Astyanax mexicanus: one gene and its partner. The protein of the gene in region 1 purifies or fractionates together with the protein of each later gene. This does not show direct contact. Links are inferred from orthologs where the notes say so. Each region holds a gene or a part of one and is shown on either strand. Other genes may lie near its edges.

Evidence for each region.
Region 2: the proteins of zzz3 (region 1) and tada2a purify together in Homo sapiens (affinity purification with mass spectrometry; 4 studies listed by BioGRID and IntAct, with this or other methods). This does not show direct contact. The link is inferred for Astyanax mexicanus from reciprocal best matches to the Homo sapiens genes ZZZ3 and TADA2A.

The regions. Positions count from the first base shown.
Region 1 is NC_064415.1:55,925,851-55,932,843, reverse strand, and holds the start of zzz3 (ZZ-type zinc finger-containing protein 3), read right to left. Parts: upstream 3,002-6,993; 5' UTR 2,897-3,001; intron 1,533-2,896; exon of another isoform or gene 1,217-1,532; intron 1-1,216. Other genes in the region: usp33 (ubiquitin carboxyl-terminal hydrolase 33), read right to left, coding at 5,957-6,114, 6,893-6,961.
Region 2 is NC_064425.1:13,103,778-13,111,409, forward strand, and holds the start of tada2a (transcriptional adapter 2-alpha), read left to right. Parts: upstream 1-4,606; 5' UTR 4,607-4,986; coding exon 4,987-5,011; intron 5,012-5,540; coding exon 5,541-5,647; intron 5,648-5,845; coding exon 5,846-5,905; intron 5,906-6,320; coding exon 6,321-6,412; intron 6,413-6,907; coding exon 6,908-7,065; intron 7,066-7,460; coding exon 7,461-7,549; intron 7,550-7,632. Other genes in the region: uncharacterized protein LOC103024639, read left to right, coding at 230-445, 713-874, 1,221-1,388, 1,693-1,962. UniProt on the Homo sapiens protein: Component of the ATAC complex, a complex with histone acetyltransferase activity on histones H3 and H4. Required for the function of some acidic activation domains, which activate transcription from a distant site. Binds double-stranded DNA.

The DNA of each region.
Region 1 (6,993 bases):
GAAAGACTGCTGCCAGTGGACTACAGAGAACACTGGAGGTGTTCTAAAACTTTTGACTTGTGGTATACATACGGTATACATAAAATACCTTCCTCTAAGTTAAGTTGCAAAAATAAGTCTGACACCACCAAACAGCAACACCTTTACATATATTCAGCCTACAGCAGATTCAAATCAGTATATGGGTCGTTAGTCACTTATCAGCACTGATGTAAGGTAACGTAATTATTTTTGGTCATGTTTTTTTTTTAATCGTTGTTTTTTAATGAGCTGAACCACTATTGGATGACAAGTACATGAGATCAAGAGGTAGGGTTTCATTAACATGCAAAATTGTTTTAATGCATCAAGACATTTACAATGCTATACTTTCACCCCCTCCCCAACATCATTTAAAAGGAATGACAAGGCCGCCAGTTCCAATTAGCATAGTTGTGCCTAACCTAGCCATATTTTTATAGCATTGATTATATTAAAATCTAGTTTGAAAAAAAAGGGTGCAGAAAGAGTAACTACATTCCCCATTTTAAAATAAGACCTGATGATAATCAATTTTTATTGCTAGTTTTATGTCCAATTTCAATGTGCATTTTTAAATTGATTGGACTGTGGGTCTGAAGAACTTACGTAAGCATTCTGCTTGTATTCCTAATCAAGTCACTTTCATTTATAGCCCTAGTTCAAGGTGGTTCTGTTTTGGAGGCGAAAAACTGCTCTAACACACAAACAGGAGAACAACCAGTGTAACAAAATTTAGCAGGTGTCATCACAGCTCTCTAGATTATTTAATCATATGATAGCATAATTTTGCAAGCGCACATTGTGCGTCAGATAAAAAACAAACATAACTGCAACAGTAGCTTGAGTTATATGTCTGCACTGCGTTGTGCAGTGACTATTCTCTCTGGTCAGTCAGTGCTGTGCTGTGTTTACACATCACTCTTTGAAACAAACAGATAACGTTACTAAAATATATTAAATACTTAAACAAAAATTAAAGAAGAAATGTGAAAGAGAAGTACGATAAAATTAAACAGGTGTAAGTATCCAAAATAAGCCCTATCCAAACGAGATTAGTTTCTCAGGGGGTCCCTATAATAAATGTACAAAATATAAATTAAGTTTTACACAATATTGTGCATCTTATATGATCGAAATTAGCCTCAATTTAGCCCTAAAGAGTCCCAAAACTGAACTGATACACATCCCAACTCACCTTTTTCAACACTGTTTACGATTAATGTAACGTTAAATCAGCCGCACTGTTGGCACTTTTTCCCCGCCGCCTCCTGGCCTGGCCTGCGCTGTACTGGAGCCGCGGGTTTGCGTGGTAACCGCTCGCCGGCTCCGGAGCTTATACTTTGGTGTACTCGTGGTTGCTACCAGGAGAACTCGAATTCGTGATTTAGCGAAAAGATTTAAGATTTGGTATTAGACAAACAGATTAAAAAACGCTTTATCATGTAGTTTGATAGATAACTAGATAACTAACGAACCTAGCCCAAGAAACGTGCCCCTTTTAGTTATCCGCTCCTCTAACTAGCTAACATCAGCTAGCTACAGCGGCTCACACACAACCCCTCAAGCCGACAGAGCGGCGCTATCCGTGGGCCGCGGGTCTCTGAGCCGCTCCTTGGTAGGTAGCCGGGCAACCGTGCTAGCACGCTAGCTTGAATTAAAGACCTGGTGTTCTGTCGAGTTGTGCTACCTTGTCACACAGTGCTACCCTAGTAGTATTTCATGTTTAAAAAGGTAAAACACCATATCAGAAAACATATTAGAAAATACTCCCAGCAGAAGCCTAGGTATGATATGCAGATCAATCACTTCATCAGGTAAAGTTAAAACTTTTAGTTCAAATCATTTTTCATAGTTTTCTAGTTAATTATTTATTCTTAACCTTTCCATTGCTATTTTCTAACTGCTATTTACAGGTTATTATTATTGTTTTTTACAATCATTCAATCATGTTGTTTAATGCTACTAATAAAAACTTAAGGAATTGACATGAAAACATTATAAAAAAAAATTTTGTTTAACGCATGCGCAGTGCCGTAAAGAAGCACGTATCGATAGGTAGCATAACTCGACAGAACACCAGGGCTTGGAAGGTTTTCTAGCTAACTCGCTAAGCACAAATTTGACTTACGTGCCCGAACATTTTGGGGGACGGTTTCAATGGTGCAAGGGAAAACTGAGCCAAGTTAATGTTAAATAATAATAAAATAATAAATAAAATAAAAACAGAAGAAAAGCCACTAACTTACTTTGGTGTTAGTTAGCGTTAGCTAAAGCTAGCTAAGATAGCATAACACCGCAAAGCAAGCGGTTACACGGGTTGCTAAATTAGCTAACATAGCTAGTTAGCTAAGCTAACTGTATTTTTTAGATAACGTTAGCTACATAATTTATATAGCCTACTAACGTTTAAAAGAGGTGTTTGTTATAAAGTATAGTTTAATTAGTGTTAAATTATATGAATACGTTGATATAAATGTGTGTATTTAGGTTTGTTTTTTTAAACATAAGGGCCTACGTGTTGTACATAGCCTTACCGTCGCTTAGCTTAGCTAAAGTTGGAATAGCGCCGTTCCACCTTAAATGGTGCAGCAGTTAATATTACAGCGCACGGGTGCCTCAATCGAACTGCTGCACCATTTAAGGTGGAACTACTAAATTCCAACTTCAGCTAAGCTAAAGCGCCCGATTCGATGGTTTTAACTTTCTCTCCTCTCCTGTTCAAACCATCATTCTGCTTTTCATACTATGCTCACTTATTTTATAGAATGTAAGCTTTTAAAAGACGCACACGAAAAGCTTGGGAACACTTTTGAAAGCGAATTATTTGGAAAACAAATCGGTTTCTCAAGCAGGAGAATTGTAGCTAGCTACTTACCTCACTTCCGCAAAGCGTCTGCTGCACAGTCGGCAGCTGCCATGTTTTTCTCCACTGAACTGAAGTGTGTGTATGAGTGTGTGTGGGGGAGAGAGAGGGAGGGAGAGAAAGCGTGTGTGTGTGTGGGGGAAAGACAGAGAGAATGGTACATCCATCCCACAAAAACCCAGATTGTCTTTGTAGATACAGTAGTTAGATGGTTTTAGATGTTCCCAAAAATGTAAATATTATTAAAAAGTTACTTACTTATTTAAGTAATTCAGTTCAAAATGTGAAACACATATATTATATAGACGTATTACATATAGAGTGATCTATTTTATTGGTTTATTTATTTTATTGTTAATGATTGTGGCTTACAGCCAAATAAAAACCCAAAGATCAGTGTCTCAGAAAAGTCTGGGTGGTGTTCCAAGTCCTGCTGGAAAATGAAATCCACATCTTCATAAAAGTTGTCAGTAGAGGGAAGCATGAAGTGCTGTAAGATTTACTTGTAGAAATGGATTGTAGAAATTTAATTTAATGTAGGACAATAACTTTACAGGAGTTACTACATCTTCTTAACCTTCAATGGAAGTCAATGTGAAAAGAATTTTCAAGTAATTTTTGATAATTTCTATTGGTCCATTTATTAAGAAATTTTGACACAGTGTAAAGGACACTTTGTGTTCAAATTAGGTAGTAATCTAAAAATCTACCACATATACTCAGAGATATCTACTACCAGAGATACTTGTTTTAAATGGGAAAAAATTACCTAAATGCCTTTTAAAAGTGTAGCATTATTCGATCAGTTAAACAGACTAGAATTGTGAATATTTAATTGAAAAAAATTAAATAAGTGAAACCACAAATCCACGTTCACTGAATAATTTTGGGTTTAATTTGTTTCGGCCAACCAAAACAAAAAGTGACAGACGTAGGACTCATTCTTCCCATACAGCTTTCATAAATGACAGATATGTCAGTCCTCTATTCCAGTCAATGAGCATCAAAAAAATAATAAAAAGAAAAAATAAATCATGCCATTATATACATAAATTAATGCCTCAATCTTTAATCAGTTGTAGTAGATTCATGTCTATTTTTCTTTATTTTATACATACAATTAAATGTGTGCCTTGTTCTTCTAGAGCAGCTCTGCATCTACATGCAAGTCAAGTGGAGTTTCAGCCTACAGATCATATCTTTCGTTCCAGCATGCATTTCATATCAGGTTTGGCTCGCTGAATAAAAAAAGAAAAAAAAGAAAAAGAAAAAAAAAAGTATAAACATTATAGTAAATCACGTTACCCCTTCTGGAATAAATAACATAGAATGCAAGAAACTCTGTGTTCATTAAGTACGAGTACATTCAGATAGAAATCGGACATCAGTATTGGAGCATGCAGAGCTGGAGGCCTACGGAAACAGTGCAAAACAGAAAAAAAAAATTACACAGTCCTTTCCTGAGACTATTTAGCGCTTCGGATCCCTTCACAATCTCAGGCGGAGCAGTGAAACGTCCGCTCCCTAGGACGGACATTTTCCTTTTAAAACCGGACAACGAGTACAGTACTACGCATTTTAATTCTTCACCAAGTTCAGCTAAGCAACTCACAGATTATTCTCTATTTGGTCACAAAAAACGGTACATTTGTTTTGCTCCCAAAAGGCGCCTTTTCAAGGATCTACCTCAAAGGAGCGATAAGCGATATTTTCGCTAGCCTACTGGCTGAACCCGTGGGTCTTTTTTTTTGTACAGAGGAAAGATTAGTGCTTTTCATTGAAAAAGTAGGAAAGGAATGCATATTTCCAGCGATATTCTAGCTTACACACATTTTCTATACGTGTCTGAGGAAAGTTTCACTTGTCGCTCCTTTAAAGAAACGGTTTGGTGTAAAATTTTACATTTTCCACTTTGTGGAATGATGGTTGATGTGGATCAACCAAGACATTTAGCAGTTTTGCTTCTTTAGCTTACACTAAAAGCCAAGTCATCCAAAAATCACTCAAACTGCAAACTGCTGAGTAGACATGTCTGTGTTGTTGTTTAGGGTGAAATAAGACAAAAAGTGAACTATAAATATGAACAAAACCTCACTGTGAAACTGAACGTTTGTGATTTCTGTTGTTCCTTTTTTTAAAAGAACCATTACTTTTGAATTCCATTTTAAACTTTTTAAAATACTTTACATGTATATAAATAGTAATACAAATAGCAAACATAATCTGTGGGATTGTGTGAGGTTGTGGGGCATGTAGAATTTCTCCTAGCTTTAGCTACGTGCTAGTTATTAATATGTTTATCATTTACAGTATGTCATACTGTATCCTGAACCACATTAACAAGCCTGTGCCATTTTAAGGATGACATTAATATGGTTTAAGTGAGTTCAGACATGTGCAGGCTGTATCTGCAGTAATAACTAATTGGATAACTATTAACATTCACTGTTTGTATCAACAATAGCTTTCAAGCTCTAGCTCTAACCATTTTATTTAATTTAATTTAATTTTATTTTATAAGGGTTAAGCTTGAGCACACTGCATCAGTGCCAACAATAAGCAATTCACCAACATATGGATACAATATTAAAAAACAAAAGCAATCAGTAATGATGATTTGGATGACTAGTGACTTCCAGTGTTCGTTAGCCTCATAACTCCAGCGCTAAACTAAAGAAGCAAAGTCTGTGAACCTCAGCTGCCTTGGTCGATCAACTACCTTACCTAAGGTAAGTGTGAACATGTGCAAATGTGATTTTTCACCAATCCATTCCTCTAAAGCCTAACCTAGTCACCAGTGCCAATAGAATGTGGACAGACAGTGCTGTATATACAAATACGAAGCCTATTCTGAGACATATTCCACTTCTCTGCAGCAGGGAATGGTTCACATATGGAATGGAGACTGTGGTGGAGGTGTGTGTGTGAAGGAGGTGTGTGTGTGAAGGAGGGAGGAGACAAGGCATGGTCAGATCTTTTGCTCAAATGCTTTAGAGATGAAAAGAAAGAGTCAAGTGCAAAATAACAGATTGTTTTCCAGTCCCCTGTTAAAAGGGCAGCAGGTTGAAGCTGCTACACACTGCGTGTCTCCATTTCGATCTTCTCCTCGGCCTGGGAGCTGTCCACCTCCTGGTGGCTGACGCTGGGCCGCACTGTCACCACTGGTCCGCCTCCGTGGATGGAGTGGAGGAAGTTCCAGGTCTCCTCAGATATCTGGCCTGAATCTGCACCTGTTGGGGGCAGCGGAGGAGAAATAAACCAACGTTTAGAGTGAAAAGAAGAAGCAAATCTGGTCCCTTTAAATTATTAGCTCATTAAACTCTACTGTTGCTGAAATAAATGCCGTGGCAGCTGAAGCTGATCACGCTGATTAAGTTTGGTTGTGAACATCTTAACTCTTTACTAACATATGCAATGTTTTAATTTGTGTATGATGGTTTAGCTGGTCTAACAGCATAATCAAAATTACCATGCTGCTCGACTGTCAAGACAGAACTGGTCCAGAACCACTAATCAGCTTAGTATCAACAACAAGTTTAAACGAAACTGGTCTCCCAGCATGACCTTTAGAACAATCAGTTTTAAAGGGTTTAAAAGGTTGAGCTCGGGGTTATAAACTAAGTAAAAGGCAAGTGGGAGGATTTTCAACTTTATGCAAACAAGGTTCTACATAATATCACCTTCAAGAGGCTTTTCAACTAGCCAAAGAACTGATTAAATACTGATTAATTTTTTGTGATGAAACCTTTAAAGAACTCCTTTATACAAGGAAGACATAAATTCTTAAATAGGTTCTATAAGATGCTTTGTATCATAGTGAAGAACAGTGTAACCAGGCAAAGACCATTTAAAGCAGCCTAACAGTGCTTTGATTAGTCAGGACTCAGTATAGAACCATTTAGACACATAGCATAATCTGATTAGGAATGAGAACTACAATGGTGGTAATATCGAATGCTATTATTATTTTATAATAATGACAAAGTAAATTCTGATAAAGAACATTACCTTGCTTGAGGGTGATGTGCCCGTTCTTATTCACAGCGATCTTAGAGTTGTCAATTGGTCCTGGCGGATCTGGAAAAACAACGTGATTAGATTATTATATT
Region 2 (7,632 bases), on another chromosome or scaffold:
AGTATTTTAGCATATGTTTTACCATGAAATTTTAGCACATACAGCTGTATTTTACCATGAATTCAGTCTCGTAGGTCCAAAATTAACTGTTCAGTATTTTTTATTTTTGTATGTTTAATCATGAAATTCAATTGATATAGATTGTTAGTCAGTACTGGGTCAACTCCTCAGTGCCTGGTGCAGGTGGATGGTTGTTTCCGGTTGAGAGTATGCTGTGAGTGATTGGCTGATGCTTCTGACCTGTGTGTCTCACCCTTTTTTGGGGTCTAGTGCTTGGAGGGACTTCAGGGACTGTGAGTTATCTTCAGAGACGAGGGATAGCCCCTTCAGGACCAGCCAAAGAAGACAACCTGAGGAAGACTTCCCACCCAGGAAAGGAAAAATACATGGTGCTGGATCAACTCCTGAGCTCCTGATGCTGGTGGATGATCATTTCCTGTTGAGAGTATGCTGTGCACGATTATTCACCACAGCTGCCAGTATTTTACCGTATATATTTAACAGTCAAATTCTATAAACCACAGCTGCCAATATTTTACTGTATATTTAATGATAAAGGACAACTAATATGGATTTAATGTCTGAAAGAAGCTCCCAGTAATTTACCATATATTTAATGATAAAGATTTATTCACCACAGCTGCCAGTATTTTACAGTATATTGTGTGTCTCAACTTTTTTCTTCTTTTTTCATATTTTTTTTATTGTTCAGGATGACCAATATGGGTCTAGTGCCTGGATGGACTGTGGGTTCTCTTCAAGGATGAGGGATAGCCCCTTCATAACCAGCCAAAGAAGACAACCTGAGGAAGTCATCTCACCCAGAAAAGGAATAATTCATGATGCTGAATCAACTCCTGAGCTCCTGATGCAGGTGGATGGTCATTTCCTGTTGAGAGTATGCTGTGTGCCATTATTAACCACAGCTGCCAGTATTTTACCGTAAATATTTAAAGATGACATTCTATGTACCACAGATAACAGTATTTTACCGCATATATTTAACAATGCAATTCAATCAACCACATATGGCAGTATTTTTCTAAATATTTCATCATGAAATTCGATGGATATAGATTGTTAGTCGGTGCTGGGTCAACTCCTCAGTGCCGAATGCAGGTGGACGGTTGTTTCCGAGAGAGTATGCTGTGAGTGATTGGCTGATAATTCTGACCTGTTTGTCTCACCTTTTTTCTTCTTTTTTCTTCTTTATTTTTCAGGACAACCAATATGGGTCTAGTGCCTGGAGGGACTTCAGGGACTGCAGGTTCTCTTCAGAGATGAGAGAACCCTTCAGGACCATCCAAAGAAGACAACCTGAGGAAGTCATCTCACCCAGAAAAGGAATAATTCATGATGCTGAATCAACTCCAGAGCTCCTGATGCAGGTGGATGATCATTTCAGAATTTACAGAATATTTAAAGATAAAATTTTATCTACCACTATAGCTGCAGGTATTTTATCGTAAATGTAAAGAGGAAATTCTATTCACCACAGCTCCCAGTGTTTTACCGTTTATTTAACGATGAAAGTATATACACTACAGCTGTCAGTGTTTGTATTGGATTATTGAATACATCTGAGATGATCATAGCAGAATATGTTTCTACTGTGTCATTCTATCACTTTTAAATAAACTGTAATTTAATTGCACTGATAGATATGAAGTTATCCTATCAATCTTTTTTCAGGCTCCTATACCGTGTCAGGCCGACCCATATGGGTTCTGTGCCCAGGTGGACTATGGGTACTGGGGGTCCTATCCACTGAGGGGGTGTACCCCTTGTGGGGTCAGCCATAGAAGTCCTCCTATACAGTGTCAGGAAGACCAATATGGGTTCAATGCCCAGGTGGACTATGGGGACTGGGGGTTGTATCCACTGAGGAGGTGTACTCCCTTCTGGACCAGCCAAAGAAGACGACCTGAGGAGAGACAACCCGAGGAAAACACCTGGCACTAGGAGAACGTCTCAGTGTCTGATGCAGTGGACAATTGTTTCTTTATTATTATATTATATTATATTATATATGTCTAATTTATAAATATCTATTGTACTTACATCTCTTGTGTGTGTGTGTGTGTGTGTATGTGTGTGTGTGTGAGTGCTGAGTGTAAATGTTAAAAATGGATTATTATATTATATTATATTATATTATATTATATTATATTATAGTGGCGTAAAAAAGTATCCCCCCCACACACACAGATTTCTTTTGTTTTTGCTTTTTTCTCATACTTAGATTTTTCCAATTATCAAATATACTTTAATATCAGACAAAGCTAACCTGATTGAATATAAGAAAACACTTTTTAAATAATAATTGTATTTATTAAAGAAAAAACTATCCAAACCAGTCTAGCCCTATGTAAAAGTGTTTGCCCCTAAATCTAATAACTTGGTTGTGTCACCTTTGGCAGCAACAACTGGATTCAAGCTTTACCAATAACTGACAACAAGGCTTTTACATCTCTGTGGAGGAATTTTGTTTTACTCTTCTTTACAGAATTGTTTTAATTCAGACACACTGGAGGATTTTCCAGCAAAAACATCCTGTTTAAGATCATCCACAGCATCTCAATCAGACTTTAACTAGGACACTCCCAAACCTTCAATTTACATTACATTTGGCAGACGCTTTTTTAATTTGTTTAAGTTTTTAAGTTTTGGGTCATTGTCCTGCTGCAGAACCCAAGTACGCCTGAGCTTGAGGTCACAAACAGATTCAGGATTGTCTGGTAAACAGCAGAATTCCTGGTTCCACTAATTACAGCAAGTTGTTCAGGCCCTGAAGCAGCAAAGCAGCCCCAGACCATCACACTACCACCACCATGTTTTACATTCAGTATAATGTTCTTTTTCTAAAATTATGTGTTATGTCTTTATTATTATTGAATCATTAACACTGACCTTAACTGAGGCGAGTGAGACCTGCAGTTATTTAAATGTTGTTCTGGGTTCTTTGTGACCTCCTGGATGAGTTGTCCAAGTCCTTTTGGTATAATTTCGGTTGACCAGCCACTCCTGGGAAGGTTCACCAGTGTTCCATGTTTTCAAATTAAATATGTACGGGGCAACTTTTTCACGTCACTGTATATATATATTGTATTTGCATCTTGTGTGTATTATATTATCATATACTATATTATATTATATCTTATATTATGATATATTATATCATATTATCATCTCTTATATTATCATATATTATATTGTATTATATTATATTATGCCATTATATTAGATCATATTATGACATGATATATATCATTATATCATGTCAGATATATTATATTATGTTATATTATATTATATTATTTTATATTATATTATATTATTTTATATTATATTATATTATATTATATTATATTATATTATATTATTTTATTTTATATTATATTATATTATGTTATATTATATTATATTATTTTATATTATATTATGTTATATTATATTATATTATATTATTTTATTTTATATTATATTATATTATGTTATATTATATTATATTATTTTATATTATATTATGTTATATTATATTATAGTATTTTATATTATATTATATTATATTATGTTATATTATATTATATTATTTTATATTATATTATATTATGTTATATTATATTATATTATTTTATATTATATTATATTATATTATATTATATTATATTATGTTATGTTATATTATATTATATTATTTTATATTATTTTATATTATATTATATTATATTATGTTATATTATATTATATTATTTTATATTATATTATATTATATTATATTACATTATGTTATATTATATTATATTATATTATTTTATATTATATTATATTATGTTATATTATATTATATTATATTATTTTATATTATATTATTTTATATTATATTATATTATATTATATTATTTTATATTATATTATAATACCGGTATTATTTTTGGTATTTTGTACAATTTTTTAAATATGTACAAAAACAAATAATACTGTTTAATAAAATAATATATTACAACTTACATTCAGTGTTTTTTCATTATTTTTAAATATTCTGCTTTGTAGACTAATACTAAATACTATGGAGCGCAGCAACAGGAACACCCAGTCAGCGTAGATCTCACACCAACACCAAGGCAGACAGACAGGTGGAAAGATTAATAATTGGTCAGGTAGAAAGTTGGAAAAACAGATAGGCAGAAAGACAGAGAGATGGAAAGTATGAAAGTTGGAAAGACAGGCAGTTGAAAAGACAGACAGGCAAAAAATAAACATCTGGAAAGATAGACAGGTGAAAAAACAGACAGGCAGAAAGACAGATAATTTTAAAGGTAGACAGTTGGAAAGACAGACAGACAGGCAGAAAAATAAACAAGTGGAAAAAGATAAACTGTTGAAAAACAGAAATGCTAAATGGTAAAAGAGACAGTGTAAGAATTATCCATTATACAATCGATGTCAGACCAGATGTAGTCTTATACTGTACTGATAAACTATTATCTTACAAAGCGTAGGTGTAAAATAAGCTAATATTACATTATTAATTTTGTTAATATGTGTATGATTATTGTTGTTTACCTCCTGCACTGTATATAACATGGCTCAGTAGCAGTAGCTACCAGGCGCCGCAAGGGGCGCTGCGCTCCACCTCATCTTTACCTCAGGATGGCTGTTTTCTCCTTAGCCAAGTAGCTAACTAACTAACAAACTAGCTGCGCTGATAACCGCTGTATGAGCATCTGGTGCGGGACAGCGAGGCTTAAATTAAATTGTTATAAATGGTGTAAATCGCCACTGGTTTGTGAGTTTGTGGAGTTTGAGTTAGTAGTAACTGCTGGGGAAATGCTGAAGCAGCTCAGCCCGGCTAGCTTAGCTTAGCCTGTTAGCTAACTAGCTTAGCTTAAAAACAACAGGCTTGAAAACAAGCTAGCGGCTTTAATTAAATAATAACGACAGAAAACGTTAAATAAATCATCCTGTACACGATTTACTGCAGACATGGACCGCCTGACATCTTTTGGAAGTGAGTATATCTTAAAATAAAGTCAATATTCTGTAGTTAGCGTTAGCTAGCCCCTATCAGTTAACAGGTGTAACAGTAACGTTAAGCCAAACAGTAAATTAACGTTAACCAGAGGAACCTCTGGATAAGATGATTAGCCAAATAATAATAATAATAATAATAATAGGGTTAATATGGAGATTTAGTGTAATTAGCTGCTGTTTGGTAAATATTGGATCATTGTATTGCAGAAAACTATTTCAGCACTGCTCTCAAACTTTATAAACGTCTTATCTTCAGTCATAGACTTACAATCAAGTTTGATTAATCACAGTTAATTTATGGGGGGCAAACACTTTTTCATAAGGAGCTAGATTGGTTTGGACAGTTTTTTTCTTAATAATTTAAAAAGTATTTTATGTCTATGCAGATTAGATTTGTTATAATATTTGTCTGATATTAACGTTAAATCTTAAATAAATATTAAATCTTATATATATATTAAATTAATCTGTGATGTTGGTGTAACTTTAATCATCCTTAATTCCAGATGACCCTTTTGACAAGCCTCCTTGTCGGGGATGTTCTTCGTACTTGGTGGAGCCTTACATAAAGTGTGCTGAGTGTGGACCATCCCCTTTCCTTCTCTGTCTCCAGGTGAGTATCTGAAGTGATGTCCTGTGACTAAACTTAAGATAGAATGGGCGTAAAAAATGTTTGTTTAGAGTTACTTGGTTTTCAAATAGCTACAATTATTCAAAATGTGTCAGCACTGTGGTTATTAATTGACAGTAAAATTGTCAAGCTTTTGCTGTACAAATATATAATCAGAATAATGTTTCTTTTCTGTTTCAGTGTTTTACTCGGGGCTATGAGTATAAGAAGCATCAAAGTGATCACAAATTTGAAATCATGGTAAAACAATCATAATTTATTAATTTTTTAACAACTGCACAAGTTTGTTTGCTGGAATAAAACGATATTTTTAGTTTTTTTTTTAAACTATAGTTTACATACAGTTTTACTTATGTACAATTTTAATTTTTTTTTTCTTAACAAAATACAATTTAAGCAGTAGTTGACAACACTGAGAATACTGAGAATGTTCAATAACATTCAAATAAAAATAAAAATAAATAAAAAATAAAATAAAAAATACACTGCTTTAATACAGGATACTGTTTTGGTCTCAATGTGGAGTTTTAGTACAACATTTTAGTACTAAATCATAATAATTACTAGATTGTGTACATGTGTATTTAACTTAAAAAAAAAACTTATCATAAAGTGTATAATTGCTCAGTGTGGTATCTTATCTTCTCTCTCTTAGACGTCGGATTTTCCTATACTGGAGCCCAGCTGGACGGCGCAGGAGGAGATGGCTCTCCTAGAGGCTGTCATGGACTGCGGCTTTGGAAATTGGTCAGTACAGTTAAAAAGCTTTGGTGTGTTTAATATGTTTTATAATTAATTATATATTAGGGCTGCAAAATATATTGTTGAAGCATTGTAATGCAATCTCAAATGCAATATCACTTATTTGACCTCAGTATTAAAAACCAAGAGAGTGGATTATTAATAACATTAAACATTAAATGTCTGACTTCTGGTTAAATCTGGTGAAAATCTCAGTATTAAAAAAATAATAATACTGCAATATATTTTGCATATTTACACACTTTTTCTAATATTGTTCAGTCCTATCACATACAGTACCTGTCAAAAGTTTGGCACACTTCTTTTTGTTTAATGTGTTTTCTCTCTCTTTTTTTTTTTTTACAATGTAATTTTAATATTGAAGACTATATTAAAGCTATACAGGAACACATGAATTGTTTTGTAAACAAAAAAGTTGTTTAGTTTTAATGATAATCTATTGATTAATCAGTTTTGTCTTTCACTAACATAATGTTTCAGGCAGGATGTGGCCTATCAGATGCGCACCAAAACCAAGGAGGAATGTGAAAACCACTACATGAAGAACTTCATCAACAACCCTCTCTTCTCCTCCACACTGCTCAGTCTCCGGCAGATGGAGGAGGCTCGAACAGCGGACAGTGCCATCCCATTCAAACGTAAGAGATTGCCTACAGTGTTTTCTTCTGAAGGGTTTTTTTTATCAGTAGTGTAATGATATTGGCTCCTTACACTGTCTTTTATTGGGCTGGGCGATACATAGAAATTTTAAGAAATATCAATAATCATTACATTACCTTACAAATTGTAATAGTTTGTTGGTTTCTGGATCCTTCTTACCGTTTTGCAAACTGTGTGCTTTCATTTGCTTCTCCCATAGTTAATTTGACGATCAGTCCACATTAACTGCAAATGACCTTGATCCTGGAACAAGAAACTAAGAGCAGAATGTGTGAATTTTGTCAAAGTGCCTTTAAAGCATTAGGCTGGCTTAAGTTAAATAAGTTATTTGTTTATAATGTAACCAACCTTTTACCCATCTCTTTCTTATCAGCCACTGACGATCCTCCTCGGCCCTCGTTTGACTCTCAGCTGTCCAGAGATATGGCGGGGTACATGCCTGCTCGAGCAGACTTCATGGAGGTCAGTGTACAGTGTTTTCAATTTGCAGTGTGGTCTAAAATATGTAACATAGTAGCACCTCTTGTTTAGATGACAGTTTTGCC